2 linked regions of the Drosophila melanogaster genome follow. The protein of the gene in region 1 interacts with the protein of each later gene in a pairwise test. Each region holds a gene or a part of one and is shown on either strand. Other genes may lie near its edges.

Region 1 (16,245 bases):
AGACCCGACTAGCAGATACCCGTTACTCAGTTAGTGCGAATACGAACGCGAAATTTCATCATTTTTCTGGGACATCGATAGATATTGGGGAATAAATGAGAAAAAATTTAAAAATTGTTCCAAAGTGTTGGCGTGGCGTGGTAAAAAGTTTAATTGGAAATCAATAGAAATTTACAAGACTAATAAAACTATTAAGAAATTTCGAAAAATGGTTTGAAAGTGTGGACGTGGCAATTTTGTGCGGTTTGTGGGCGTAGGAGTGGGCGTGACAAACTTGCGTTGCGTCTTTGTCTCTAGAATCTGTATGCTGAATCTCAACATTCTAGATTTTATAGTTCCTGAGATCGAGAAGTTCATACGGACAGACGGATATACGGACGTGGCTAAACTGGACTCGGCTATTGATCCAGATCAGGAATATATATATAGTCGGAAACGCTTCCTTCTTTTACTCTACAAGTAACGGATATAAAAAGATTATTTTACGTGTGAATTAAGGAAATTAAAATATTTTATAACAAACAAACTTAAATCTTTTACTTCACCTAAGTCGTTGAAAAATATTGAACTAAATTGGAGAAAGCTTTTATTAAACCCACTAATAACCTTGTTCGTCCTTATATAATTTATTAATTCCACACAATTCTGGCAATTGTGTTGCAATTAGTGTACTACACCTCCCCACGATGCCAATTAAATATGTTTAGCTGTCCCATTAGTTGATATTTATTTAATTGTTAGCCGCAAAAAAAAAAAGTTACATCTTTGAACACATATGTGTTTATTGTAAGGGTCTTGGCTTGCAAAAGTTTATAAAATTCTTAATCTTAGCTTATTAGTTTACTTGCAAACACATCTTCACTCACGACCAAATATCCAATTGGAATTTGTGTATTTCTGGGGAATACCCAAGTGAAACGTAATAGGTAATCAATCACGAATCAATTAAAGATTCGAATACCTAATAACCAATTATCAAACAATTCTACGGTTTTAGGCAAGCCAGTTTCGATTGATTTTAAACTATCAATTTGCAAGCGTACAAAAAAATATGATGTTATGTTATCAAATGTTAGCTATACTTTACGAATATCTTTCACCTTCATTAATTGTTGCAAAAACTATACAATTATTAAGTTAGAATCTTAAAACTTTCGATTCTTGATTGTTCAATTGAACACTCAATTAGTACGCTTGATGTTCTGTTTGCAGGCGATGCAGCTTGCTCTTAAGCGTTGGCCATAATTATCGCACTTGCTGCCACTTTTAATAACGCCTAACGTCTATGTGATTATGATTGTGATGATGGGTTTCGTTGGGCAGTGGGGTTCAGTGAACGCCTGCTTGGCCTTGACTCAGAAAGCCACAATGCCGCGGCGGAGACCGCAAAAAGTGCATCCATTGACTGCAGAAGCTAAGGGTCTTTGCTCGACTGCAGCTATGGGAGCTATGTTGCAGCTGATGTTGGCCAAATCGAAACGCGTAGGACAGCATTAAAGGCAGTGGAAAAGATTTAATAGATGAAAAACAAGCTAGTGTTCTACATATTCAAGCATTAAAATGCGTCTCCTTTTCCATTGCATACTTACAGTCACTTTAATGGTAATAGCTTTTTTTATTTTTTTTTTCTTATTTCAACTATTAAAACTTTTGTCGATTTGATGCTTATGCACTACACTGTACCCGAATAACATAAAGGGTACTGCGCTACCACTGAATGCACTCAGATACAACTGCCTGGCTGCATACAAACTGCATAGATAGATAATTTATAACTGGTCGTAATGAGATAGAGATTAAAAATCAGCATAGCAGCCAACCCTCCAGTCGGTAATCAAGCAATAATATTTAGTTATTTGGTAATTCAATGCAAAACATGGTAACTGCCAGGTGGGTACGTTGCTCCGTGGCTCGGAACGCTTTTGTCCGCTACTGCTAGTATACAAGTCGTAGCAAGTAGTGCTGATTAATTTCCAATTGTTATTATTGTTATTATGTTCGAACACCCTTCACCGACCGACTGGCAAACGAAATGCAAATCTATAGATGAACTGCCGTTTTGTTCAGCATAATTGCTGGAAACCAACCATGGATCGATCGCCAGACAATGCAATCGAATAACTGCGACACCTGTCGTCGCTACTGGCCATAAATAAAACGAAATAAAGCCAGTGGATCTAATGGATCTAATGGATCCCTTTCACGAATACGGCATACGAAATTCTTGAAACTCTATCCCATCTCGATTGACATACTTAATTATTTAAACCGGTTTGCATTTGCGGAAGAATCTCAAATAAAAGACATGCATCTGCCAAGCGATTGATCATCTTAAATGTATTCATAGCCAACGATATGGGATCGCAGTACCGCCCAATGCCATCAGTTTGGTTTTTTTTTTTTTTTTTTTTTTTTTTTTTTTTTTTTTGTTGCTCGGAAGCCCCTAAGTCGTCTTATATAAGCCATGTTATTCGGTTATCATACATCATTTTCACCCAATTCGTTTTGTAATATAAACAAATTCTCTTTACACACTTTCTCTCGATCACTTGAGAGCGCCGTTGGCCAATTAGTTAATTGTGTTGTCGCTAATTAACCGAATCGATTGAATTTTGCATATAAATTTGAAAGGTAATTATTAAGCGACGATCAAAGAGCAAAACAAACAACGAAGTTACCTTTGCGTCAAGAAAAAGGTAAACATGTTTTCTTATTTGGCTTAGACTCGATGAAAAATAAATATCCGAAACAAGGTTGAATTATGATTTGGGTTAACCGAAATACCATGCATATTTGGTTCAGAAATTAACTTATGCTTAAACTATATAATATTATTTAAGTTTTGCTAAAAGGTTAGAAGGTACAATTTGTTAGGTTATTAACATAAGTGAATGTTGTTTAATTTAAATAGAATTTAAATGTTTTTTTTTAACTTAACTTATAATGCAAGCTATGTTTTTAGAATTATACTTTTTATTCCTTACACCTTAATTATTTTTTTTAATGTAACATATTTTTGTTTAATTGTCAAACCACATTACAAATCCATATACCCATTTCTCTCCAGCAAATGTCATATAAACCTATTGAACTTACCAATCATATCACACAATTTCATTTGCGATACAGTAATTCACCGACACATCAATAATATATAAACATCGGGTTTGGGTTTCTTTTAATAAGAAATCGGTGTTAAAAGTTGGTACAGCGCAACAATTTTCGCTTGAGAGCTAACAGCCCAAACGAAATGCCTCAATGGAAGTGCCAACAATAATGGCCAACTTGAGTCACAATTGGTATCTAATTTTGTCCAACGCCTTTGGGCCAGTTGACAACGCACATTTGATGATTTAATGGGTTAGTTGGGCAAAAAGTAGCGAGAGAAATTAATACAGAGTAGAATATAGGGCAAAAAAAAGAGTGCTTTTTCATTTAATTCGATTTATTTCGAAATAAAAACCAATTACAGCTTTACCTTTAAAGGGGTGCAAATAGAATACATAAATAATAATAACGAACATTTTTGTTCTTATTTTTATTTAAAATATCTGCAGAAAAAAACTCCCGTTCAGTCAAATTAATTTGCGAATATTTACCTCAAATGTTAGTAAAAAAAAAAAATAACTCTATTATATTTGCGAATAGCTTATGCCCTTGTACTTTGCTAGTGACCAATATAATTGGCAGCAACAATAAAGAACAAGTAAATAAATAACAACAATCAGAATGCCAAATGCCCATGACAGCACAATCTGACTGGGAAAACGGTTTGCAAATCGTTGTTGTATCATTTGTTGGGTAAACAAATTATAAGCTATGTGTATGCAATTTATTAATAGTAAAGTTAGTGGGGTCGCATACAGTCAAGCTGCTTTTAATGTGTCAACGATTTGGACCAGAAAATATTTGAAAAAGAAAAAAAACTACATTTTAATACCCGTTACTCGTAGGGTAAAATGGTTTCGATTTCGACCATACAAAGTATATATATTCTTGATCGGGATCAATAGCCGAGTCGATCTGGCCATATCAAGATTCAACATACAGAAGTGACCCATGTTGCCACGCCCACACTTACGCCTACATCTTTGGAACAATTTAAATTTTTTTCTCATTTTATCCCGCAATATCTATCGATATCCCAGCAAATGATGAAATTTCGCATTCACACTAGCTGGGTAAAGGGTATCTGATAGTCGGGAACTCGCCTATAGCAGTCTCTCTTGTTTTAATTCTATTAATATTAGATATATATTTATATACCATGTTCAATAGCCATTATTGTACTATTTTATTTCGATTTAGTTCTAGCTGGCAATTCTTTTATCGGTCGGCAAGACCGCAACAAGTTCGAAATCGATAGAGACTCTATATATATATATAACCTTTATATATAATCCTTTAAAGAAATATTCTCAGTGCTCTTATTTTCCTCACTGCACATATGTACATACATACATATGTATGTACGTTGGCCCATATAGAGGAAATGTTATAATGATGAAATAATAAAGCCGGAGGACAGGCCAAACAAATCCTCGGGGGAGTTCAAGCAGCCCACACATCCTGCCCACAATAAGCGTTGATAGTCGTCATAAAAAAAAGCCAAAGAAATACCCTAAACTCAGCCCAGCCTCCAGCCCCATCTACACCATCTTGGCAGCATCCAAAGTGCAAACAAAAGGGGGCCACTGGAACAACAACAGCAGCCCCTTATCACCACCACCACCACCAAAAAAAAAAATATATATATATATAAATATAAGCAGGAAAAAAAAACGAGCAAGATATAACCCCTTGGGGAAGTCCTGTCCAGAAATGCTCCGTTGTTTCGTGTTAAATTGACCGCTCACATGCAACTTGGGGCCATGGAAGACAATAAATATTTATATGTAAATGCCGGCAATATTGTCTCTATTGTGCACACAGGGCACCAAACAAACAAAAAAAAAAGAAGAAGGTGGGGATCCTGCTAACCTGAGTCCGGAGGGTACAGTTCACACCATGCTAAGTGCGCCGGAGGTCGCACTAAAGTAAGCCATTAAATGTAACAATTGATATAATTGTACGCATTATTTGGGCTGCAGGAAAAGTTATATGGTTTTCCAGCGATTTATTTTATTTGTATTTTTTTTTTGTCACCTTGTTAATGTTTATAAAACGCTAGTCCAACTCAAAAATTGTGTGGAAACACAAACCGCCGCCGCCTAAAAGTATGCAATGCAAAAAGAGTACAAGAGTATAAGTTGAATCAATTATTTAATCTAATAAAAGACAATCTATAAGCTGTTATTGCTGCGTTTTAATATAATTCATTTAAATTACTTTTTATGATTTGATTGGGAGTAAAATTAGTATTCTTTTTTGAGCAACAATTCCATCTGCGAACTTCCGAACTTCCAAACAGCTCTTGTTATACGAGGTTAATTTCTTGCAATTTTTCAGTTAAATTTTAAGACAATAAATGCATTTATTTCAATTTCAATTTCTTGCAAAGTTCCTCATATTTTTTGACCACACATGTGTGCGTTTGTGGTGCTGCCTCCGGGGCAAGAATAAACCCATTTCCGTTGGCAGATTCAGATTCAGCTTCAGTTCAGTTTTCAGCTCCAAGTGACAGAGTCGAGGCTAAGCGACCACTTTAAAGTACCCTGAACTTGATTAATGAATGGCAGCGCTCTAAAGTATGCTACGTCGTGCAGCTAAAACACACATACTCGCACACAAGGCATCCAACACACGCACACACACACACACACACACACTCAAAGTGTCAACGACACGGGGCAAAAAGGAGAAAAAAAATTATGGAAGGCATGGCAAAAGAAAAGCACCGAGGTCTGAGATGGCTTAAAATCTGTTTGGCACGCGGAGCACAAATTGAAATTGGCTCACAACTTGGCAGCTAATTTAATATTTTCACTGAAGATATCTGCGCGGTTGTTGAAAAGTGTGAGTGAGCTCTACACTTATAATTGTCACAGGCACGGCTTACAAGATATTACACGCTCCATTCAAAGTTATAACGAATGAATGCAAGAGACTATGTTATTCATTATTTAATAATTTAAAAAAAAATGTCTCGAAAATATTTACTTTTAATTTTGATTGCATTTATGATCATCTATCTAACTGCTAAACAGTTTGCTTTTCAGCCAACCATAATAAATATATACAAGCTCTTTTGACTTGGCAGTCTCAATTTTCTACTATCTTGCCGTCATTTGGCTTCCTGATATCAACCTTTTTAATGCTTCCTGTGCAAGACTTAAATATATATAAGATAACTGAATGTTCAAAAGCGCTAACTTTCATATAAAATATTTGTCACACGTTGTTGGTTATTTAAATTACATTTAATGCGGTATAAGATTCAGCTGACAATTTGCTGTAATCGAATTTGAAAAACTTTTTAGCAGAGAAATTTCATATTGATATATTTTTGTGGACTGAAATATTTATTGGATGCATATATCAAAGCAAACTAGTAAGTAGTTTCCTCCACAATAATCTGAACTCTTAATTTATTCGCAGGCGCACATTTCAATCCATCAAATCAAGCCATGAATAAACTGATTAAGTAATTTATTCAAACGTCCATTTATTCATTAGCTAGCCTGAGCATTAGGTATATATTTTATGTGCGTGGTATGGTTAAAGTTTATTGGCAAAAAATAAGGATAGTACACATACGCAGTGTGGGCAAATTGGCATTCCAGACATAAATCGAAGGTCGAAATCCACAGTAACGAAACTCATCAGACACGAACGGACTTCGATTTCGCCCAAGCTTATTTTCGATTTGTGCAACAAATGAAGTGAGAAATTATTTTTATTATTATTTATATTTTCACTGCGAATGCTGTGATGATGCCACCCACATACCACATCCGCACCGTGGGCGAATCACGTATTCCAAAAAGCAAACAAACGTTGGAGCCCGCATATATAAACAGGCTGCCAAACGCTTCTACACGGCGGGTAGTTATGAAAAGTAAGCAAAAGCAAATGCCAGGGAAAAATAATACGAGGGGGTAGATATGGGTGTATACCATCACGAAACATTGAAGCAGCAGCAGTAAAGTACACATATTTTTCGGTGGCTGTCCGTCAGTCACATCATTAAAATCGAGCATGGAACTCAGCTGAAGCTGCCGCCTAATTCGAGTCCTTGCCGCAAGATGTGCTGAAATGTGCCGCCAGGAGAGGCCAGGATGGTGATGGAGGCGGTGGTGTAGCTGAGAGCTGAGCACGGGCACTGGATAGGGACACCCATTCTCTCGAGGCGTTCATCAATATGCCAAACATGTTTTGTTATCATCAAATGGAAAATGCTTCATTTTCACGTACGCCAAAACGGAAGACAAGGGCACTGAAAAAAAAAAACCCATTTCTTTAAGCTTACCAAAATTGTAATTGTATACATTTAACAGCGATTGTATTTTCTAATAAAATGTTTAAATGTAATGTAAAATATATATTTTGAAATAAACTATATAAAGAATATATCAACATTTTTTTTTAGAATCTAATCTCTTATCTTGAGAGGAATATATATTTAGCTTAAACATTTTTTCCGCATGTTGCACATACTAAAAAAAAAATCTTTTGATGAACAGTGTTACTAAAATAATTTTTGGACTTTATAATGACAACAATGAAGGCGACTGAAGACTGAGCTCGCATGGGAACTTCAGCTTTAATTTCATGAAATTTATTTAGAGTGCAGAACGACGAGCAACAGGACGAAGTAGACGGCCAACAGGCTACTGACAGATAGACAGAGGCACCACCACCACATCGACAGCGAGACACCAAAGACAGGCCGTCAAAGTTGATGGCCTCCAGGCGGATTTGGAGTGGAAGTTATCGTTGTGAATTCCGCAGGTGAATACCCAAGCTCATAGCTATCCCTATGCCCGCACCCATCTGCATCCCACATCTCCGTTCTCATCCCGCATTAAGATGGCAAAAAAGCTTGCGGCTTGCGGCATCTGCCGAATGGCGGTGCTTAAACCACCCAAAAACTAGCGACGAACGACGGAGCACATAAATTGATTACCAAGACATTCTACGACAAATTCGGCATATAACAACAATCCGCATGACGGAAACACTGGGGGGATTCACCCCAAAATTCACTTGCCAACTTAATCGGTTGTACAAGACAACAGTTTCTGGAAGCAAAAGAGACTCGTTGATGTGGCAATGGCAATGCCGCAAGTCGTCTGTGGAATTTCGTAAGCTGCGACAACCAATAGTCAATATACTCAATACTCAATACCCAATACCCTATAACCAATACCCAGTTGCCAAATCAATCGCGACAACTGTTGAGCCAGTCAGTCAGTTGGAGATTACACCGCCGATGGGGATTCAGCTTGGGCACTTGACTGGGAATGGTGGGTTCAAGAGGCGACCATACAGATTGATGCAACCAAAGCCTAGGGAAAAAGTCTTAAAGGAATTCAGTACGAAAATGTGTTTTCTTCAAAATCTCAAAGGGTTACAAATGGGCTAAAATGGAACCATTCGAATTCTAGTACGATTTCTTCATTAGTAATTGCATAATTATTTATATTAATGCATGTAAAGTTTTAGAAAATCACAAAATGCTTTGATTTTAGCGTCAACAATCTTTTCATTTTCGTAGACAGCTTTGTAGCTCAGTCGTCATTGTATTCTATACTTATTTGGATAGCAGTCGCAATAAGTTATTTCAGAAGGATAGTTTTGCCGAGAAATTGTTCAAAAATTGCACACGAAAAAGAGTATAATTGTTTTTTTTTTTTTTTGTTTAATTTTGCTACGCTTTTTAAAAACCAAAAATAGGTCCCAAAAATTAGTTTCATCATAATGACGTCTTCTCGGCAAAATCTTCATAAAATCTGTCGCTATCGATTGCGTGGAAATTGTCGTTTCGATGATTTATGCCGATACTCACACGATGTGTTACAAAATGACAACCTGAGGCCGCAGATATCAAACAATGCGGATGAAGTCGTGGGGCATGCAAACAGGTACAGTCGGCCGATGACCGGGGCAAATGCAACAGAGGAGATGAAGCTATCCTTTGCAATAGCCAAATCCCAGGACAAGATGTGCGGCATTTGTTTGGAAACCGTCGTGAAGAAGAGGGGGCGTGAATGTCGCTTTGGCATCCTGCCTAAGTGCAAGCACATATTCTGTTTGACGTGCATTCGCAGATGGCGTCAGGCCGAGTATATCGAGGACAATGTGAAGCGTGGTTGCCCCGAATGTCGCGTCTTCTCGGAATTCGTGTGCCCTAGTGCCTACTGGGTGGATACAAAGGAGGAGAAGGACAAGTTGCTAAGCGAATATCGCGCGGCAATGGGCGCCAAGGATTGCAAGTACTTCAATGGGGGCTTGGGCAAATGTCCCTTTGGAACAAATTGCTTCTACAATCACCGTTCTCTGGCGGGTGATAACCGCATTCAACGGCATTCAATGGAGGATGACGACTTTTAAATATATTGATTTTAATGATGACATGACATGGCATGTGACCGGTCGATCCCATTTCTCAGTGACTCGAGCGATACGTTCATTTCAAAGCAAATCAAAGAGAACAAAGCAACTTTTGTTAGACGGCTGAGGAGACACGGTTTATAGACTTAGTCTTGGTCCTTGCCAGAGACTATAATGTACAACACTGAGCTTAATATAGCTTCGTTCATCCACATATCGACCAATTTAGTGCATTACTATCCCCATATAGCCGAATTCAAGCATTTAGCAATATAACCCTTACAAAATAAAACAAATACTCAAGCACCAAATTTTTGTTTAGATGTCTCCGACATCGTCACGGTGAAGTGGCCAATAGCACTGGAAAATAGGTGGGAGTTAAAATTATTAGCACATCACATCAGTTTCACAATAATATCATTAAGTTTCTTAAACACAAATCCATATAATTGTGAATATCACTCAACACTTGTACAAAATGAATATGAAAGACCACTAAGTCTTCTGTGGATTTTAGTTTCTTTTTGATATTTCTTAAAATTTTTTAAAATCACAGAAAAAAATCTCAAATGGTCTAAAATATAATCATTCGAAATCTAGTGCAATTTCTTAATTACAAATTGCATAATTATTTATTTTAATGCATTAAAAGAATGCTTTCATTTTAGCGTCAACTATCTTTTTATTCTCTTTGACATATTTCTAGCTTAGTCGCCTTAGAATTTAATACCTATTTTTAAATCAGTCGCTAAAAGTTATTTCAGAAGGATAGTATTGCCGAGAAATTGTTCAAAAATTTTACACGAAAAAAAGTATATTTTTTTTTAAATTTTACAACGCTATTTAAAAACCAAAAAATAAAGTTCTCAAAAATACTTTCATCATAATGTCGTATCGCCGTAGTCAAACAATCTGTCGCTTCCATTTGCTTGGAATTTGTCGTTTTGGTGATTTATGCCGATTCTCGCACGACGAGACGACACCAAATGACAACCAGAGTCCGCAGATATCGGAAATCGCGGATGAAGTCGTGGAGAATGAGCAAGTGGTGGCCTCCACCAGTAGCTACAGTCGCCAGATGACCTGGGCAAATGCACCAGAGTTTGTTCCCAGGTACAAAGCCAATTCTGCCGATTTCCAAGCAACTGAAGGTGTCCAGGATATTTGTCCATATGGTGGCAGCTGTATCTGGGGCAGTAAGTGCTCGTATCCACTTCACATGGAGATTTGCAAGATGTGCGACCTTTACTGCCTCCACCCGATGGATCAGAACCAACGCCGTGCGCACAATCGTGAGTGTCTGGAGCAGCACGAGCAGGCGATGGAGCTATCTTTTGCAATAGCCAGATCCAAGGACAAGATGTGCGGCATTTGTTTCGATACCGTCGTGGAGAAGAAGGGACGTGAACGTCGCTTTGGCATCTTGTCCAAGTGCAAGCACATATTCTGTTTGACGTGCATTCGCACATGGCGTCAGGCCCATCAATTTGAGGCCACTGTGACGCGTGGTTGCCCCGAATGTCGCGTCTTTTCGGAATTCGTGTGCCCTAGTGCCTACTGGGTGGATACAAAGGAGGAGAAGGACAAGTTGCTAAGCGAATATCGCGCGGCAATGGGCGCCAAGGATTGCAAGTACTTCAATGGGGGCTTGGGCAAATGTCCCTTTGGAAACAAGTGCTTCTACAGGCACCATCGTCGTTGTGACGATAACCAGACACAATCAAATGCCGTCAATTCAGACTGATGGCTATGACAATATGACTATTGATTTTAATGAAATACCATTCATGGCATTTGACCGATCGACTGAATTTCAATTTGATCGATCAATTTCTCAGTGACTCGAGCGATACGTCCATTTCAAAGAAAATCAAAGAGAACAAAGCAACTTTTGTTAGACGGCTGAGGAGACACGGTTTATAGACTTAGTCTTGGTCCTTGCCAGAGACTATAATGTACAACACTGAGCTTAATATAGCTTCGTTCATCCACATATCGACCAATTTAGTACATTATATCCCAATATAGCCGATTTCAAACATTTAGCAATAGAACCCTTACAAAATTTTTGTTTACGTAATTGTCTTTTCTGGACCTTTTTTTTTTTTTTTTTTTTTTTTTTTTTTTAATTTTTATTATTTATTGAATCTTCCCTTTGTGTTAAGAGACTAACAATAAGTGTTCAAATCTTAATCTAACTTAATTAACTTTCACTTAGTGATAGTTTTTTTTTTCATTAATGCCCTAATAAGTTTATTGCTGGGCTGGGAGGTCGTTGCGGTGCAGCCGGCTTTGACTGCATACTCGGATTAGTTTTCTTGCGAGGGGATTTGTATGGGTGGTCAGCTTTTCGTTATACTTCGTTTTTTTCTCAGCTATTACTTCGATTACTAATTTGATTTTTAGGTCTCTGTGTATGTTTTCGTTCCGAAGGTACCACGGCGCTCCAGTGATAATTCTCAGAATTCTTGACTGTGCTCGCTGAATAATGTCTATGTTACTTCTGGATGCGTTGCCCCACAGCTCGGAGCCATAAGTCCAGATAGGTTTTAAGACGGAGTTGTATAGAAGAGCTTTGAACTCCAGACTAAGTGGAGAGCGAGCATTTATGAGCCAGTGGAGGTTCCTTGCTTTAAGTTTAAGATGTTTCGATTTGGCTTCTATATGTTTGCGCCAAGTGAGCCGCCTGTCCAGATGAACTCCCAGATATGTTACCTCGTCGGCTTGTGGAATGCATTTGTTATTCAAGACCAGTGGTGGGCATGTTTGTTTGTTTAAGGTAAAGGTAACCTGCTTGCATTTTTGAACATTTATTGAAATTCTCCAGTCGGCAAGCCATCGTTCTACAGATGTTAAGTGTCGGGATAGGAGTGCCGTGGCTTTTATTGGGCATTTCGAGCGACTGAGTATCGCGGTATCATCAGCGAACGTGGAGGTTGTTAGATTGTAGTCTATGGGGAAATCCGCCGTATACAGGGTGTATAAGATTGGACCCAGTACACTGCCTTGCGGCACTCCAGCTTCGATTGCGCAATCGCGTGAAGTGCTTGTATCGCATCTTATTGCAAACACTCTGTTATATAGGTATGACTTCAGTAGCTTATGTGTGTTTTGGGGCAACAGCTTGATTATTTTAAACAAAAGTCCATCGAGCCACACTCTGTCAAATGCCTGCGCGACGTCTAGAAAAATGGCTGTGCAGTATTCTCGATGTTCAAAAGCAGTACGAATTTCTGACGTGATTCGGTTGACCTGTTCGATGGTTCCATGTTTTTCTCTAAAGCCAAATTGATGTGTTGGAAGTGTGTTGTTTATTCTAAGATGAGGGCTAATCCGAAGGAGTAGCATTTTTTCAAACAGCTTTGAAAGACATGTTAGTAAGCTTATCGGTCTATATGATGATGGCTGCGTTTTATCTTTTCCTGGCTTTGGAATCATTACTATGGTCGACTTTTTCCATTTTTGAGGGAAGTATCCAAGCTTGGCGATTGCGTTGAACAACAGGCAGATGTGAAGAATAGCACACTTTGGGAGTTCAATGAGCATTCTTGGAGTTATTAGGTCGTAGCCAGGCGATTTTCTTGGGTTCAGTTGCTCTTTGATAACCTTTGCTAGTTCACATGGTCGGAATTCAAGGGGTTCTTGAGGATCTAGATTGGCTGCTATTAAAGGAGGGAGAATAAATGTGTTGGTAGAGGGATTTGGTCGGAATACATTTTGTAAATGGTCAGCGAAAGCACTGGCTCTTTCTTCATCACTTCGAAACCAGGTGCCAGAGGGACTTCGTAGTGGCATAATTGGCGCTATTGGAGTCTTTAGGTTTCTGTGAGCTCTCCAAAGAGGGTACTTAGTGCTGGTGGGAGAGAGTTGCTCGATATATGAACGTTGGCTGTTTTTTTCCTCTTGTTTGAGAGCATTGGTAAGCCTGCGTGTGGCTATCTTAAGCATGTGCTTAGTAATTGGTGATCTATTAGACTGCCAATCCCTTCGTAGGCGTCGTTTATCTAATACCAGCCGCTCGATTTCGCGATTAGTTTTGATGTAGTTTGGTTTTGCATACGTCACTGGCGGGGTTGAAGCCTTTGCAGCCGAAACTAAAATGTTTTCAAGAGTTTCCGTTGACTTGTCTATATCCTCCTTTGTAGATAATGCCGTCGTTAGTTCTATGTGTGAACAGACATACTTTTGATACCTTGGCCAGTTTGTTCTAAAATTTGTGAGTCTATACGGTGGGTCGACGATGTGGGGGCGAGTTAGCATATTTAGAAAAACAGGTGAGTGATCTGATGATAAATCTGCTAGTGCTTCGGCGGTGACCATGTTGCGGGGGACATGTTTAGTAATTGCAAAATCGATCAGGTCTGGGATTTTTCTTGGGTCTGCTGGCCAGTATGTAGGCTTACCCGGGGATACATAGTCTAGCTTGTTTTCTGGCTTCGTAAGCGCATTGTACAATTGCTTACCCTTTGGCGACACAAGTCGAGATCCCCAATGGGTGTGCTTGGCGTTATAGTCACCCGCTGCGATGAACCTGTCACCTAGTGTGTTAAAGAATTCCATGAATTGATCCTCAGAGATTGGAAAGCGCGGTGGGCAGTAGACTGCGGCTAGAGTCGTTGAACCATTGTTGAGTTGTAAGGCTATGGACGTAGATTGTAAGTAGTTTTTGTCAAAATTGTTTAAGTGGTGGTGTTTTATGCGATTTCTGATGAGTATTCCAGTGCCTCCATGAGCTTTACCATCTGGATGATTTGTACCATAGAACAAGTATCCTGGTATATGAAAATTGTTTTTATTTGTGAGGTGCGTTTCTGATAGTAGCATTACGTCGATGTTTTTTTCGTAAATGAACTGTGTGAGCTCTTGTGTATGCCGTGAAACGCCATTTGCGTTCCACAGAGATATCCGTAGGGAAGCCATTATGGGGATTTTGAAGATACAAGAAGTTGAATCAGGATATTTTGGTTTTTCATGAGCTCTTGCAAAGTATTTTGCATGAACGTCATGAAGTCTTTCATGCTTTGCTGTAGGGATAGCATCATAGCTTCGATGCCACTTTGTTGTGTTTGTTGGATGTTTGTCGGTGTATGTTCGGAATGAGCAGTTCTTGTCGGTGGGGCGGGCACTTCTAGTCCGGATTTTAGGGCGCTAGCGAAAGAAATTGTTGGAGTAGTGCTTGGGACAGTTAGGGGTGGTTGAAAAATCGGTTGCGGAGAGTAGAAATTGACTTTGTTGTATGTATGTGCTGTGGCAATACGTTTGTTTAGGCGGCTCTTCAATTCTTTGTACACCACACAGCCTCTGTAGTTTGCAGTATGTTTTTCCCCGCAGTTACTGCATTTCTTCACAGACTTATCGTCCTTGTTTTTGGGGCAGTTTGCGGTAGTATGAGGTTCGCTACAGACAACACATACGGACTTAAGGGTGCAGTATGCCTTGGTGTGGCCGTATTCTTGGCAATTAGTACATTGAACTGGATTGATACGTTTGTGCGGCTCCTCCACGGTGATCCTCCGATGTAGCAAGTACTGTAAATTGTATATTGGGTGCACTTCGTTTTTCTTTAGTGCCTGGAGCTCTGGTTCGAGTTCTATTTTGAATAGTGGCTGCGGAACTTTGTCTTTGTTTAAAATATTAATAGCTGTCTTTGCAGAAAAGTTTTTGGCCTTCAGAGCCTCAATTATCTCAGCTGGTGTCACTGTTGCTTCAATGCCCTTAAGTACTACCTGTAGCCCTTTGCAACTTTTTAATTGGTATGTGTAGTAGTTTTTACCAGCATCATTTAGGTATTTAGTCACTATACGGTGGTCTGCTTCTGTTTGGATCTGTAGTTTTATTTCATGAATATTTCCTTTTTTAAGTGGGATAATGTGGAACTTGCTGTCACCAATCAAAGCAACGAGTTTATTTACAAGTGCATTTGTACTTTGTTCTCGTATGAAAATTGGTGGAGGCCTGGTCTTTTTTGGTTCCCCTACCGTTTTTTCGTTGGGTTGTTCGGTCGCAGAATCAGCCAAGATAGCATATCGGTTTGAATTATTTACTGCAGAGTTTTCATTGCCGTTGTTGGTTCGATTGATTTTGGGTTGATTACCTGCCTTATTGTTTTGAGGGCTGAGCTTTCTCTTGATTTGGATGTAGCGATCCATGCCAGTCTGCACAGTCGAAATCGACTTCTGCTTTTGTTTTGATTCTTCTTTACGTGCATTATTGTTGTTGCAAACGGTCAGTGCTGCTGAATTATTTACAGCTGGCACAGCGATAATTAGTTGGGCCGCTGACGAAGTTGATGTTGTGGCAGTTGCCAGTGAGGTCACTGCACTCGTTATTGCAGTGTTACAGTTACCCGGGACGGTCGTTTGGCGCTGCGAGAGGAGCGGGGTAGGAGAGGCGGTCTCTTCGCTCCACGACTTGTGAGCCGAAGCAGGCAGAGAGGGAGAGCAAGAACGCGGTCTGTCGTTCGCTGAGGGCAAAAGTTTCGAGTTAGTTGAAGGTGAGGGTGCTCGATCACCGATTTGCGGTGAGACGAAAGAAAAGTATGCATTGTTGCGTTGTAAAGAGAGCCGGCGCTCGTCTTGTTCACATTGTCGCTGAGAACGTATGTCGTTTTGATTCATTGTTCTAAGTCCACATATAACAATTACCAGAACAATATGGAATAATTATTTATTTTAGTAAATAATTACTATAGTCAATAATTGTTAGTTGTGCAAACTGCACTTTACACTTTGTGTTTAACTTTCACTATACTGT
Region 2 (16,353 bases), 1.1 Mb from region 1:
AACCCCCTTAGAACCCCGGCTAGGAAAGAAATTAATAGAACCACTCACAAATCTAATTCATAGGCAAGTCTTAAAATCATTGCAAAACAAACAAACAAAACAAAACAAAACAAAAATACAAATACAAATCAACTGAACTGAACTGAAAATGTAAAATACGATACGATTTCCCAAGAATGTGTGGAAAACGATTGCAACAAAGCAAGGCGAAAGCAAAAGAAAAAATTCGAAATCAAATCGAAAGTGACCGATTAAAGGTCGATATCAATTGATCGATAATTGAAGCTGCTCGATGATTGTGCGTCTGAACGTTATATATTCGTTTATTATCATTTAACTGTACAAATCTTCTAGCTTCTTATGTCCGTTACCTCTTTCTCTCTCTCTCTCTCTCTGTCTATCTCTTTCTCTCTCCCACTCGCTCAACTTATGACTGTCGCCATACTGCTTAAGTTTGTATTTGTTTCTATAATTTCATCGTTTGCCTATCGATTTTTTGCTTATCGAGCACACTCATTGAGATCCAAAGTTCTAAACTAGTCAAATCGGATGAAGCGAAAGAAAAACAAATGATCGAGCCGTTGCAGTTGTTGTTGTTGCTGTTGTTAGTTTTTCTTTTTGGTTGCCATTGCTGCGTTGCTTTGCAATGTTGTGTTTCCCCAATGTCTATCGCAATAATCGCTAATTGTTATCGCTACCACAATATATTTATATATATATGCTATCGATATTGCTACCGTTGTTGTTGCCATTGCCAATTGCTATTTGCTATTGTTGTAGTGCAATGTTTGTCGCTTTACCGCTGCTTACTCTTAATACAAGTTCCTACTTTTTTTTTTTCTCAAACTAATACAAACCACAAAAAAAAAACAAAAAAAATTATCAAAACTAACCGAAACACCAACAAAAAATGAAAACAAAACAAAACAAAAAACGAACCAAAAACCAAACCCAACTCACTCAACAGCACCTCGGCGATGAGTCTCCTGTATGAGTGCATCAACACGGTGATCGCGGTGCTCATCAGCATTAGCAGCGGCATGCCCAACCACAGTGCCTCCATTCAGCTCTGCGTGCAGAAGCTGCGCATCCTCATCGAGGACTCGGACCAGAACTGTGAGTATAAATAACCCAGCTAAGAAGCTAACGATTATATTTTCAATTTTCCCATTCAGTGAAATATCTGGGACTGTTGGCCATGTCGAAAATCCTAAAGACGCACCCGAAGAGTGTGCAGGCGCACAAGGATCTCATACTCGCCTGCCTGGACGACAAGGACGAATCGATACGTCTGCGCGCCCTGGACCTGCTCTACGGCATGGTCTCGAAGAAGAACCTTATGGAGATTGTTAAGCGATTGCTGGGCCACATGGAGCGGGCAGAGGGTTCGGCCTATCGGGACGAATTGCTTTACAAGGTGATCGAGATATGCGCGCAGAGTTCGTATCTGTATGTGACCAACTTCGAGTGGTATCTAACTGTGCTCGTCGAGCTCATTCAACTTGAGGCTGGCTCACGGCACGGTCGCCTTATAGCAGAGCAACTACTTGACGTGGCCATTCGAGTGCCTGTTGTTCGGCAATTTGCCGTCAACGAGATGACCAATCTGCTGGACACGTTCACCGTTTCGGCGCAAAGTAATTCCATGTACGAGGTGCTCTACGCCGCCGCCTGGATCGTTGGCGAGTTTGCTGGCGAACTGGAGGATGCGGAGAAGACGCTCAACATCCTGCTCCGTCCGAGGCTATTGCCCGGTCACATCCAGGGTGTCTATGTGCAGAACGTGATTAAGCTGTTCGCTCGCCTGGCCACCACGTGTTTAGAGCTTCAGGATCTGCCTGGCTTGGTGACAGTAAGTGCTCTCTCTATACGTATTTTCAAATGATTGTATTCTGAGTATTACCATTATCATTGGTAGCTCTGCGACCATGTGTTGGACAAGCTTCAGCACTTCAATGGTTCCAGCGACATTGAGGTGCAAGAGCGAGCCAATTCCGCTTGCATGCTGATCGAGATGCTGCGCAACCAGCTGTCCACGTCGACCGATGCCATGGCCATGGACACGACGACGGAGGGCGGCATTCCGCCGCTGGCCATTGAGATTGTCCAGGAGATGACGCTGCTGTTCACAGGCGAGCTAATACCGGTGGCGCCCAAGGCGCAACGGAAGGTGCCCCTGCCAGATGGTCTCGATCTGGACGAGTGGATTAATGCACCGCCACCGGAAGATGCGGCAAGCAGTTCATCCTCGGAGCACGACAAGGACGAGCTATTCGTTAGTGCCACGCAGGCAGGAACGGGAGCTGATGGCGGCGAAAAGCGGCGACAGAGTCTCGAGCTCACGCCTGAGCAACTGGAGCGGCAGCGAATGGCTCGTCTCATTGAGCAGTCGAACAATCCTCACTACCTCAAGTCCACGCCCACGGCGAGTGGTGCCTCGAATGCGGATCAGTATGACAATATTGATGACATACCCATTACGGAGCTGCCACTGGACATGGAGGGCGTGGCCGCACTGCGCGTGGGCAGTAAGTTATGCGCAGTGATTATACACAAACAGCGATGTATCAAGTTATCTGTTTTTGTAGTCACCAAGCGGTCGGATAAGTACCTGCAGGAACAGCAGGCGGCGCAGGGCAGCAAGGATGGCAAGAAGAAGCATAAAAAGGGTAAAAAGAGCAAAAAGGCCAAAAATAAAGTGGCATACAACAGCAGCTCCGAATCGGAAGGTGGTAAGCCGGAGTTAACAATGTTGTGTCGCATTACAATGACTTCTAACTTCAACACTTTGCAGAACCGAAACCCTTGCACATTGTGAACACCACGCTAGACATGCCCGAAGGTGTCTCCATGTCGGACAGCGAGGACAAGGATGGCAAATACGATCCAAATGATCCGCATCGAGCCCTGGACATTGAATTGGACATGTAATCAACGAGCTGAAAGCTGCGCAGAATTAAAAAAAGGCTAATTGTATTTTTATAAATCTCCTTACAGTACGGAGTTCGAGGCGCCCGCGGTGAGGTCAGCGTCCAAAAAGTCAGCGGCGGACAAAGAGAATCTCAAGACGCCGGCGGATTCGGCCGGCGGTGGTAACGCCGCCAAGAAGGATAGGAAAAAGGACAAGGACAAGGACAAGGAGAGGAAGGTGAAGCGGGAGCATCGGGAGAGCAAGCGGGAACGCAAGGAGGCTGCTGTTCAGTCGGTGATCGATCTCATTGACGCCGACACGCCCACTCCCAGTCCCAGCCACATCTCCGCCACCAGCAACAACAACAACACTTCAACTGTCCTTCCAGATGCGCCCAAGCATCACAAAAAGAAGAAGAACAAGGAGAAGACGACGGATGAAGCGCCTGATGCACTGGCCACCGCCACCGGGAGCAGCATCATCGATGTGGGCGGCGAGGAGGCATCCGAGGTGGCGTCCAAGGTGCACAAGAAGAAGCATAAAAAGGAGAAGTCACAGCGCAAGGAGAAGAAGAAGGCTTCAGAATCTGCATCCGTATCCGCCATCGTTTCGATTGGCGACTACGAACAGCCACTGGGAATCTCAACGCCCAGCAAAGAGATTTTGTAATTGCTAAGCTCCAAGTTCCACTAATCTAATTAATCATTATTACGATTGTTTTTTGTGTCGATTGATTATTAAGCCTTTATTCGGAAATTTTGTGAGAGGCGAAGCTAGCTTCAGAATCTCTCCATTTTCGTTAAGTTGAAACAATTGCCTCCTAAGAGAATGAAAAAAACCTAAAAAAATTATCGCTGCGATATAAAAAACAAACAAAACCAACATTGAACAAATTGATATGCTAAAAAATAAATCCACATAAACCGTATATATATATATATATATATATATATGCATACATATATAAATAATTATTAATATATAGAAGTGTAATTTTAAAATGTAAAATGCCGCCAGTCTGCCAATTGCGGCTTAAAACATGAAGAAAGCTGCAAAAAATCGAAAATGAATATGAGAAACAGATCAACTGGCAACCAGAATGCCATGCGATGCAGATCGATTCCTGGATACTATCTATTTTTGATGAATTTGTTGCCTAGAGCATGAGATTCCACTAATAAACAAAAACAAAAAAAAACACACCCACAAACACAGACAATTATATAGCTATAGTTATATAAAATGGAATTTTATAATGAATCCCACACAGAGAATAGAACAAACAGCATGGATTGTAAAAACAAATTATATATGTATACATGTGAAGCCGTATGAATCAAATATAAAGTACTGCTATACAACATAATTACTAAAAAAAACAAAAACAAAAACTGAAGCTAAGTGAAATTATACATACATACATGCATATTATATACAAACACACACACAAGCCCACATACAAATATATAAACGTTAAATAAATGAAAAGTACAATACACTTGCATATTGATTTATTGTTTAATTTGGCTGCGGAAAATAAATAATGTAATTGATCGAAATCGGGATGAAAAAAATAGAATTTCTTTAGGTTTTTAATATTACATTTTGTTTATTAAATTGAAGTTGGAATGAAATTAATAATGGAAATAAACTTAATAAGGTAGCTTCAATAAAAAAATAGATAATCGTCAAATTTCATTCTAAAATAATTTGCGCTTTGACTTAGAATTAATTTTCAACAACACCTTTAGAAATAAATCACTAAATACAATTATCAAATGGACTTCAATTTCAGTTCGTTTATTTTGAAGTTAATTAACGATATTAATTTATTAGTAATTCATTACGCTAAAGGCTTCCAAATATTATGATTTTTTTCAGTAACCAAAAGAAAAGGACACAAATCAAAAATTCAAAATTACACTTACAACTGATTAAACTAGACCTATTTTAAATTAAACCTTTGAAGGCTTTAATTCAATAACTTTTATATAACCACAAAATATCAAAATATAGAACAGGAACAAAAAAAAAAATCCAATGCATGTACAAAGAATCTAATGATTCGTTCAAAGGAGCTGGTACTTTCCCAGATCGGCATCCCTGCCGTTCATCAAATATGCGTTGATGGCAATCTGGCTGAGCACCTGCACACCACATTTGTGAAGATACTCCATGTCCTGGGTCGACAGCGGCGCCTTCTTCACATCGACAAAACAATGGCTGGCACTTTTGGCCACAGGATCTTTGGAGAACGGAGTTGTTGGCTCCAGGATGCAAGCGCCGCCGGCACGCAGCACATTCCTGATGGGCGCCCCGCTCCTCTCGTTCATGCTGAGTATAACCCGGTGATCGGAGAAGGCGCCACCGCCGCACGCACTCAACTCCGTGCGCCAACGGTGGACGGCGGCAGCGATGGGCTCCTCCTCCGGTGCCAGGGTGGGCAAGTTAATGGCCTTCGGGTTGCCCCATTCGTACAGCGTTTCGTCCAGAAAGTCGCCACGCGCATGCGACTGTTCGATATACTGGATATTTAGTATCCATTTCCCGGCCGCAATGCAGGCCAGCATCTTCTCGCCGCGATTCGGACGCTCGCACAGCAGATGGGTGCAGCTATCGTCATAGTTCACCAGATTCTCGCACACTTTTCCGCCCAGTTGGGTGATCCGCGCGATTAGTTCCGCCCGCTTTTCGTCATCATCACCGCACGAGATGCTGAAGCACGGTATGCCAGCATACTGCATCTTGGGCGAACCGCCAGAGGATCTTCTCTTTGCCGCATTGAACTCCGCCGGATCGCGCCAGTCGACCATGTCCTCGGTGCCCAGGGCGAAGCCCTCGGACTCGAAGGGCTGCACATACTGCACCTCGCTCTCGCCGCAATCCATGTCGTTGTCGTGGCTACGCTTCAGACTGTTCCTTCGCGATTCGCAGTTCTTTAGATAGTCGGTGATTTGCTTGACATCTGGCGCCACTGTGGGAACATCTGGGGCCAATACGGGCACGGCCGACTCCTCGAAGCTAATCTTGTCAAAGTTAATAGTGCTCTGACCTTCCTCGCTTAACGTTGGACCATCTGAACGCCGTGGCGGCGCTGCTTCGATTGGACTCTGTGTGTTCGGTACGAAGGGTGATTGCGTTCCGCTGCGGGGTGAACCCATGGACACCCGGAGTGGCGTCTTTTTACCTAGCGATAGCTTCGGTGTTTTCGGTGATCTATCAAAGTTGAGTTTGGTGGCCTGCGTCGTCCTGGTTGGCGGCTTCTTCTTTACCGTTGATGGCGATTCCGATAGCGTTGGCGTCTTAGCATTACTTTCTTCATATTCGATGCCCAGAGTTTCGCATGTGATCCGCATCACGCGCTGCCTGATGACGGCCAACGGTGTGTCTGGTTTGATTTTCATGGTGGGTAGGCGCCAGCGCCGCTCAAAATCATCGGCCATCCGCTGCTGGAACTCGGGAGTGAGACAAAAATCTGGAATTCCCGGTGCTGGTCGTTGATGCTTACGACTGACGGGCGTGCAGGCCTGCCGTCGAATGCGTTCCAATTCCGGCGTTTGATTCTCGCGCATTTCACGGATAATCTCGCGCACACAATCCTTGCCCTCTTCTGTATCCAGGCGTTGAACGAATTGCTCTAGGAAGTCCAGATTGTACTGCTGGGCACCCACCTGGCTAAGTGGCGTGCATGGTGAGTCCGGAGAAGATGTGGAGTTGCTGCCACGATGAAGAGCACTGCCTCCTGGTATTCCAGCTAGCTCGGAAACTCTCTTGTTGCGCAGGGGCGTCAGTTCAGGAGCTCCTGGACTGCCAGCAGTAACTGGTGTGACAGATCCCGCCGGTTGGTTCTCGGCCTCCTCCATGGTTACATCCGGTTGAGCCACCAATGTGGATTCATTCGGTCTTCTTGCTGTCCGGCTATTGCTGTCCCGCAAGCGTGGCGATATGGGGAAATCCTCGGGACTCTTGCCCACCAAATATCCAACGAAGGGCAGCTTCTGACCAGTGCGGGCGCACTGCACCAGCCAATCGGATGTGACTACGGGATAGTTCCATTTGATGGCACCTTCATACTTGGAGCCCTCGGCACTGGGACACACCAGCAGCGGTTTCTCCTTCTTGATGAATGTCTTATTGACGGAGGCGCCAAGTAGTTCTGCTGTCGCATTAATAAAGTCCCGCTCCAATCCTGCATAAATGGATACGACAATAGTCATTCCCTTAAGCGGCTGACGCAGTGCGGTAGCCGGCACATGTTTGTGGTAATATTCGATGGGCAGCAGTTGATTCTTTTTCATACAGCTTTCCAGGAACAGTTCGGTGACCACATGGCGGGCCTTGACGGGTAATTGCTTCACATCGAAGGCTACCTCAAAGCTGACAATGGCGAAATCCACTTCATCGGAGAAACTCGATGGCACCAATAAGCCTTGGGCAGCTTCGCATTCGGTTAGCATTTGGTTGAAGAACTCCTCGTTGAAACACTCCCTGTGCACATAAACAGAGACACCGGCGAAGTAGTCCAGCTTATCGAAATCAATGGATAGAGTGCTGGCACTGAGATCCGGCAATTGCAAACCCTCAGCGGGTGGTTTTGGATTGGCTACCGAGACTCGCTGGCGTATATCCATTTGGGTGGAACTTGCCGCTGGTTGAAGGAGACTAACATCTGCCGGTGGCAGTTGTGCCACTGCTCCTTGATCCTGTGAGTACTGATCCAGCAGCGTATGATCCGGCTCCTCGTGCTCCTGTTCCTGCACGGGATCCGGTTCCTGATCGAAAAGCTTCTTCTTGATGGGCAATGTTGGCTGCTTGAAGCTGTGGTTCATGGAGCGCAGTGTTCGCTTGCTGGCAGGAGAGGCAACGTCTGGTTCTCGATTCTGTGGCATCGACACACGATGCACCAACTCACTGACCACGCGACCAGCTCGAATGCTCTCCAGCAGCCAATCTAGGCGCACCACATGAACTGAACCCATGAGACCATCGCGCTGCCACTGTCGGTATTCGGCGTCATCCAGTTGGCCCACAATGATGTGTGAGATGCCCTCATTGGCCTCATCGTAGCGGGTCGCTCCGCCCGTATTCAGCACTCTGTTTAGCTTCTCACGCTCCTCTGAGCGGAAGCCACTCAAATACACACAGCAGCCATCCAGAAAGGCGCCCGCTTTTTTCGCCTGACGCGGTTCAATCTCGGCCAGCACCTGCTGGTAGTTGCGGCCACTGCTAGTCGCCTGCTTGAGCAGCTGCTTGGCGGGCGAACTGCTGCCCACACTGCTGACGGATTCGTTGACGGTACTAAGATCGCTGCACATGCGACGCGAGCCGGAGACGAAGCTGATACGTGAGAGATCCGAGAGGTGCGTTTGATCTGCACCGGGAGCTGCGCCCGGACGAGTGGTCTTGGTGGGTGTGGACGACGTCTTGCCAGGCCGCACCTCATAGTCCTTTGTGGGCAGAGCGTAGCCGCGATTGCAGCTATCGAAGATCCATTCCGGCAGCAAGACATCCTTCTTGTAGCGTATGGCTGCCTTATACTTCTCGGTGTCCGTTTTTGTTTGCTCGGTGATGACGATGTCCACCACCTGGGAGCGAAAGGCACGATGATAGATGCCTCCATTATCGTTGACCAGCCGCATAACTTGATCCTTGCGCGCCACATCCAATCCACTGCACGTGATATTCGCACCAAAGAAAATGGGCAGGCGATACTTATCGAAATCAGGATCCGTGGCCATGATGCCCTCGCGCTGGCTGCGACGACTCTGATCCCAGACGTACTGCACCCAGTCGACGTGCATTACGGGTACTCCGTTCAGCGTTGCCTGCTCGTACTTGCTGGACTTGATGGTGTTCGAAATGAGGTGGGTGGTGCGATGCCCGAAGCTTTGAAAGTATATGCCGCCCATCCAGTTTATGAGCCTGCTCAATTCCTCTTTCTTCTGTGGTGTTATGCCCGTGGCCGAGACCTGCAGATCCCGCATGGCCGTGCTGTAGATGGCACTGCTGCCCTCGGGAATGGGTTCATTGCGCCGCAGGCAGGTGATGAGGCACGGTGGCCCCAGAATTAGTGCTCGCGTCTGCTGCAATTGCTCGAAGAATTCGCCCTCGAACTGGGTCAGCACAAAGACGTCCTTCTTGGTAAGGTTACCGGCTGCGATCAGGGGATATCCTTCGCTTGGCTTTATTTGCCGGATCTGCGTTTCCGCCAACTGTTGGCCCAGTAGCTCCCGCGCCGCCTCGAATTGCTGCAGTGTGTCGGCCTCCTGGACGCCACCGTCGCCCGGCTTCAGATTGTTCACGAAGTACGCGCAGATGGTCTCGTCCATGCTCATGCTTATGCTCATGATGGCGGTTGCGAGTGTGTTCTCTGCTCCGTGATGCGCTGCAAAATTGCCGTGATTTTCGCACTGCACTTTTTTTCGCGTACGCTATTTTGGCGCCGTTTGTTATTGCCTTCAAACCGTTGGCAACGCTGGCTTGTGATTAGTTGGCAACTACGAGTTGAGCTATGTGGCAACGCCGACGGCGAATTAAAAAATAATGTGTATGGGTAATTTTAATTATTTATCTCTAAGATGTAAGGATTTTTTATTTACTTTTTATCAAATAAATAAAATATTTCGAAAATAAGCAGTTATTTATCAGTTTTGGTTTAAGCTATCGATATATTTCATTAAGCGAAATATCGATATCCACGTCGTCGACGGCAGCTCAGCCCTAAAAGAAAGGAAGAAAGAAGAAAGGAAAGGCAAATCAGAAATAATCAAGACATTGACCAACTTGTACTATTGCTAGTTTTGTGGACACAGGATCCAACACTTGAAGGCGACCACAGCTTTCGCACACTCACACACACACAGCGGCCATTTTCCGCCGAACAAGTGAAATGCCAACATGCCATTGTATGTGTGGTGGTGACCAACTGAAATAGAATAATAAACTAAACCAAAGCGAAGAGAAAACGTAGGCCAAGAGCTATATTGGATCTGTGTCACAGTTTTCCATAGCACCAACCTATCAAATGGGCAACTTTGTGAGCAGACAGAACGCGGCGGTGGAGGAGGCCGATCCGAGCACGAACAATGCCTACAAGTATCCACCGAGAATGGGTAACTTCTTTGGCACCCACTTCATCATGGGCGGCGAGCGCTTCGACACGCCCCAACCGGAATCGTACTTGTTTGGCGAGAATGCGGATCTCAATTTCCTGGGCAATCGACCCACAGCCTTTCCGTATCCCCCGCCGCAGGCCAATGAACCGACGAAGACCCTGAAGAGTCTGGTCAACATTCGCAAGGAGTCGGTGCGTTTCGTCAAGACGATGAACGACAAGAAGCTGGGCGGTGTACTCGAGAAGCCCAAGATGAAGGAGATTGATCGGGACTTGGATCTGGACAAGGAGAAGTCCAACGTGACCATCGAGGATGTGGATGGAAATGTGCTCTGCTCGATGGGTTTGGGTGGCGGTGATGCCGATATGACGCCCCCACCGCCGCCCTGCTCTTACAACATCGAGTTTACCTTTGACTCGGACGCCAAGTGCGCCATTACCATTTACTATTTCTGCTCGGAGGATGTCAGTCCCAGCGGCGTGACACTGGTGCCGCGCGAGGGTCTCACCTCGGAGACGTACCACTACGAGAAGGGCATCAATCAGTGCTTCTCGCAGCCGAGCCATGTCTTCAATCCGCAGCAGATGCCCGAGGATGAACTGGGCTATAGTCCCGGCCGTGAACAGTATCCCGTGGCCATTCACTGTGTGGTGGAGGAGGGCAGCGACGAGTGTCGGCAATCGCACACCACCATCTGTGTGATCGATCATCATCCGGAAAACGGCAGCTATGTGCTGCGTGCATTGAAGCAAAAGATCTTTGTGGATGGCTTGTGCTACCTGCTACAGGAGATCTATGGCATCGAGAACAAGGCCGTGAACAAAACGTCTCTGGACGAGGAGATCGACGATCATGGCAGCGAGTGTGTTATTTGCATGAGTGAGACGAGGGATACGCTCATCCTGCCCTGCCGCCATCTCTGTTTGTGCAATTCATGCGCGGATTCGCTGCGCTATCAGGCCAACAATTGTCCCATTTGTCGCGCTCCGTTTCGGGCGTTGCTTCAGATCCGTGCTGTCCAGAAGGGAATTAGCACGCATGTACTGCACCAGAACACGCCCACATCGGCGGCCGGGGAGCCGGCGCCAGTGGATGTTCCGCCAGGCTATATTCCAGTCTCACTAATTGAGGCACTCAACGGACCGCCACAGTATGTGGCCAGGGCTAGGTGAGTTATGGAATGGAATTAACCGATAAATCTTACGTAGCTGATGCCTTTTTTTCCAAAATTCAGGAACAGCGAACACGATGTCACGGACTCAGCTGCCACCGTGGCCGCTTCGACAATGACCAGTGCTGACATCAAGGCCACATCGCCGATCAAGTCCAGCAGCCAGCGTCGACCGAAGATCAAGAAAAACGCTTCGACGTGCACGTCGACCAGTGAGGTGGGCACCATTACCAATCAATCGGGCGGCGGCAATGGGTCATCCACACACTCTGTGGAGATTGAAAGCGATCCGAAGAAGTCCAGCACGGCCACCTGTACTTCGCCAACATTGGGGGCATCCACTTCGCCGGAACCGAAACAGGACAAGCTGCAGATTGTTAACGAACGAAAGTATCCCAGATCCACAGCCGGTTCCGGTGGCGATGGCTCCGCGGGTACCGATGACGATGTGGACAGTGAGAACGAGAAGCTATCGCCTCTGCTATCACCCGGCAGCAAGAGCAAGAACGTTTCTAGCAAATCGCTGAAGCAGGTGGTGGCCTGCCTGGAAGCGGATGATGATGTCGATAATAAGAGCAGCACTGGTGATGGGCCGACCGAGGAGTCCAGCCTAAAGAAGGGTTCGTCGATAAAGCGCACCAAACCGAGACCAGAACTTAGCGGAAGCGGTGCACCCTCACCCGCCGAGGCCACGGCCGAGGATTCGGATTACTACACGCCGGAGGATACTCAGAATTCGATATTAAGCCCACTGTGCCCCACGGAGCGAGCCAAAAGCGGTGATCCCCTTGGCGCCGGCAGTCTGGGCAATGGCGGTCTCAGCGTGGGCAGGAGCGCAGGATCAGTGGGCGGACAAGCTGGAGTGGGACCCGTCGTTGTGGGTTTCAGTAGTGCAGTTAAGAAGAACCTGCACAAAAAGTCCACATCGGTGGGCAACATGGTGGGCTCCGGATCGGTGACAACGGTTGTGGACTTGAAGTCCAACAACGTAAGCTCCCTGCCAGGTTGGTGTTTCTGATTCGGTTTCCAATTGTCACATGATTAAAACATATATCTTACTGCCATCCAGACATGTTGGACAGCCCAATCAGCGGCAACTCGGCCTCGACGCGCAGCTCCAGTGATAGCTACTCCTCCAGTTCGTCCACCAAGCAGCTGCTCAGCTCCAATCCGACCACTACGGCGGCCAATATTATCGTAGATGACAAGACAGCTCTGCAGAATGCCGTCAATGTTTAGAGCCGGTCTCGGTTGAATTTCGCGGAAATTCGTTTTCTCGTTTTAGCTTTGCGTTTATACTATTTATTCGGAGTTCACCTAGATTTAGTTAAATCAATGCTGCTTCCCCGCTCGCAGGAACAAATATTTTGAGGATTATATTAATATTAATATTAATGGTAATGCTAATGATGATGATGATGATGATGATGATAATGATAATACGGATAAGGATGGAACGGAGGAGGAGCAAGGAATAAGGCTACCAGGACGCAACACTTAACCAGTATACACAGTATATACATACATACAAACACTAACACCACAGACACGAAAAGACACACGTCCCACATGCATGTGTGTGTATGTAGTTTAATCTAGTATAATGGCTTGGGTATATAACAAATAAAATAAATCCAATAAACAACGGCGCCTAGGGCGCTACATTCCACAGTATAATTCGAACTAAATTAGTTACACTATCAATGGGCGGCAGTGTGGTATATACATATATTACTCCTTGAATATCAAGAGTAACTTGTGAATATTAATTAGCAAGAATGAAGTAATTTAGCAACAAATATATTAATCTAAAGCCATTAAATACATGTGGCAGTACGCAGTAACAAAATAATAGTAAATTGTGGTCTTAAAACCATAAATCCAACACATTTTTGTATTAAATAGTTAATTCAAACATACATATTTTCAAATTCGAATTTTAATATTACGTTATGCGTTAAAGTGAAATTATAAACTTTTACTTATACGTAAAAGAAAAATGTCATTTCCAATTTTCATATTAAATATCAACTTTAAATGCATTATTTAAATAAAAAACTTTTGCAAATCGCTATCGATAACAGCGCCCACACTATCGAAAGGCGTCGATAGGCCGCTAGGAGCTGCCATCACTAGAGATCACCCTTGGAATTGTCCAATTGGATTTGTTTACCTTTCGCCCGTTTAAGAATTTCTTTTCGGTGGTTTTTCGCGTGGTAAAGTGGCTGTTTTGATTGAATTGATTGTGCGAAGGATTGAGACGGAGCGACCGTAGTTTTGCCGGAGGTACGTAAGCAGGACCTTCTCGTCCTGCTCCCACTTGGTGCCCAATCCCCGCCCCCCGCCATAGTTTTCGACCTCCACCGCGATTGCCGGACATGTGCGTAGTGTAATTGATTTTTCGGTCAGCGGTCAAGCATTATTTATTTACCAAATTTGCCAACCCAGCCCACCCCCATCCCCCTTCCATATCTCACCCTTGAGTGGCACACATTTTCTCATTTTGTTTGTTTTATTGCAAATCTCAATAGAAAACGTTTCGGCGACCAAAAAAAAAAAAAAAAAAAAACACACACACTAGGACTTTCAACATTACATATTTTAGGGATTAACTGTAGGTACAGAGATCGGGTTTACATATGCATAAAATACGCCTATAGGTGTTATCAATTATTTAGTTAATTTTGCTAATCATTTTCTTATCGCTTTTTTACGTAACAAAAACGGACGGGTCTAAAACGGATTAAATTTGACTAAAATTTTGAATGAAAAAACTCGGTGATGCACCTGGCGGAGATTCTGGGTCAATTATTTCGGTGCTCCGGTTGACAAAGTGCGGGATTTGCGCTTCTTCAGTTTGGTCTTCACCTTCCGCACCAGACTTACGGCGTCCATGGAGATTTCTGTTGCGGATTTGTTGGCCTGGACACTGGCATTGCTGCGCTGGTATTGCATTTGACCGGTGGATGAACCCAAGGCGCCATTGCTGCCCTTGGCCTGCAATCCGGCTGCATTTCTCATCCGCCTGGAGCCTCCACCGGTCATATTGGTCGGTTGCTGCACGGCGGTGATCACAAGTCCGCCGGTCTTGAATTTGTTGGGCGCACGTCCTCCGCCGTTGCCCTGCATGTTACCCATCACGCCGGCAGAGTGCATTCGAGAGCCCATTGCCCCCACTCCGCCTTGGCCCTTGAACAACAACCGCTTATGCTGGTGGTGCATATGTTGTGGTGGCTGCTGCTGCTGCTGCTGCTGTGCTGCGGATCCTCCGGCGCTGTTGCGATTCCGGGCGAATCGAGTCACCAGCTGCGTGGTCTCTGCTATCTTCATCATGCTGCTGGACTTGCGTTTCACCTTACCGCCGGATTCGGCTGCCACCAAAGCCTGAATGACTTTGGCCTGGCTGGTCGTTCCCGTTGACTTTCTGACCACGTGCATGGGCTTGAAGGGCTGCTGCTCCCGGTCCCTTGAATGTTGCGGATGATCCTCAACCTTCAGTAGGCGCTGCGCCTGTTGCGGATGGGAGCGCCGTTGCTCCTCTTGTTGCTGCCACATCATCAGCTTCTGAGAACAAGCACTGGAATATAAAAGGACGTTAGATTTAATAGAGGAATAACCAGGGAATAATCGCCCGACTTACTTGAACAGATCAACTTGCTCCAGTTTTCTGACTCTTCGTGGTGCTCCCACAAAGGCGGGTGGCACACCCATGGCGATGCCACCAGACGCAGCTGTCTGCTCCCTGCCATTGGAGGGGAACATGTTTCGGTTCTGACCACCGCCACCTCCACCCGCTCCAGCTCCAGCTCCAGCTCCTCCTCCTCCTGCAGCACCACCGCCTGCACTTCGTATGGTCGTCGTAGTGTTGGCCATTTGGGATGCTGTTATCGAGTGACCCTTGTACCAGGCCAGAGGGCGACCATCCGCATCCCCGTTCGCACCAGTCCAGACTTTCTTCTTCAGCGAAAGCTTAAGCTGCAGGTCATCGGCCGTTTGCACATTTCCATGTCTCTGGGGAATGAAGTTGCTCGGGACACTCCTTGAAAGAGGTAAACCAATCGAATTAGATTTCGCAAAATCATTCGTAAAAATACCCACCTTCTGGGGAGCGGTTTTGCCATCGTCTTTATTCCTGGCTTGGTATCGCCTATGTAAAAGTTGGCCTTGCCCTGACCACCGCCGTTGCCATTGGGAATCTCCTGCTGATCGAGATTGTGCCACGAATAGGTGCGTCTGGCGGATGTGCCAGTTCCGCCGGCCTGCCGTTGCATCATGCCAATACCCGTGTCCAATTCTGGAGCAGTTCGAGGCGTCAGCTTGTAGACATCCAGTTTTTTCCCACCGCCCGGAGTGCCGCTCTTCGAAGGTGTGGTCACAATCAGTTCCGGCGGCATGTGCGACGCCTTTGGTTTCTGCACCACCGTATCGCCAATTTCCTCGATGTACCGCCTCTGCAGATCGCTCTGGAGCAGCGTATGCCGGAGCGGAGGCACTGCACCGTAACCATTATGTCCGGACGTCGGCGAGTGCTCCTCGTCGTCGGTGGAGAAGTGCAGATCCGAGCCGGGATCCGTTGTGGGCAGGTCCAGGGTGGTGCGCACCACCTCGCCACGTTTCTTTGAAGGCTTATTCCTTACCTTAGTGCGACGCGCCTGCGTGGACTAAGCCGATTAGATGCGGGAGATTTGAGGCGAGATCGGGGAATTATTAAATTAGTTGTGCTTGTGTGCTTATAAGTATGTATCAAACATATGTTAGGTATATATATTAAACTTTTTACCGTTTTACCTTTACGATAGATACCTTCTTACGACGATAGATGTAGATGCGCCTATTGGCCAGCCACAGGCGGAAATTGCGATCAACGTGAAGTTTCTGATTGACCACCGGCTTCTTCTTCTCCGTGGGCATGAACTTCTTCTTTTTGGCCGTCTTCTTTGTGCCAGCACCACTAGTCTTCACCTTCTTTGTGACCTCTTTACTCGCTGCGGTGCTACCACTTGAACCATCCGGTTCCAGTAGCGATTCCGATTGCGATGAATCCATGCTTTCCGAACTGTCGGAACTCTGGCCTCCAGTCGGTTGATCACTATTGGATGGCAAACTTCTGGCCAATTGTCTCGGCGTATGCAATTTCTGGACATCGTTTGTCTCTA

What was found.
Region 2: the proteins of CG5334 (region 1) and Mrgn1 interact in a two-hybrid assay, tested with the Drosophila melanogaster proteins (one large-scale study listed by BioGRID).

The regions. Positions count from the first base shown.
Region 1 is NC_004354.4:14,766,500-14,782,744, forward strand, and holds CG5334 (uncharacterized protein), read left to right. Parts: upstream 1-8,808; 5' UTR 8,809-8,859; coding exon 8,860-9,492; 3' UTR 9,493-9,800; downstream 9,801-16,245. Other genes in the region: CG5347 (uncharacterized protein), read left to right, coding at 10,379-11,236.
Region 2 is NC_004354.4:13,715,259-13,731,611, reverse strand, and holds Mrgn1 (mahogunin ring finger 1), read left to right. Parts: upstream 1-9,634; 5' UTR 9,635-9,935; coding exon 9,936-11,194; intron 11,195-11,260; coding exon 11,261-12,201; intron 12,202-12,266; coding exon 12,267-12,436; 3' UTR 12,437-12,878; downstream 12,879-16,353. Other genes in the region: g (garnet), read left to right, coding at 1-63, 968-1,116, 1,176-1,852, 1,919-2,528, 2,589-2,732, 2,795-2,927, 2,998-3,580; mus101 (mutagen-sensitive 101), read right to left, coding at 4,981-9,258; Nna1 carboxypeptidase, read right to left, coding at 14,006-14,774, 14,838-15,236, 15,296-15,858, 16,001-16,353.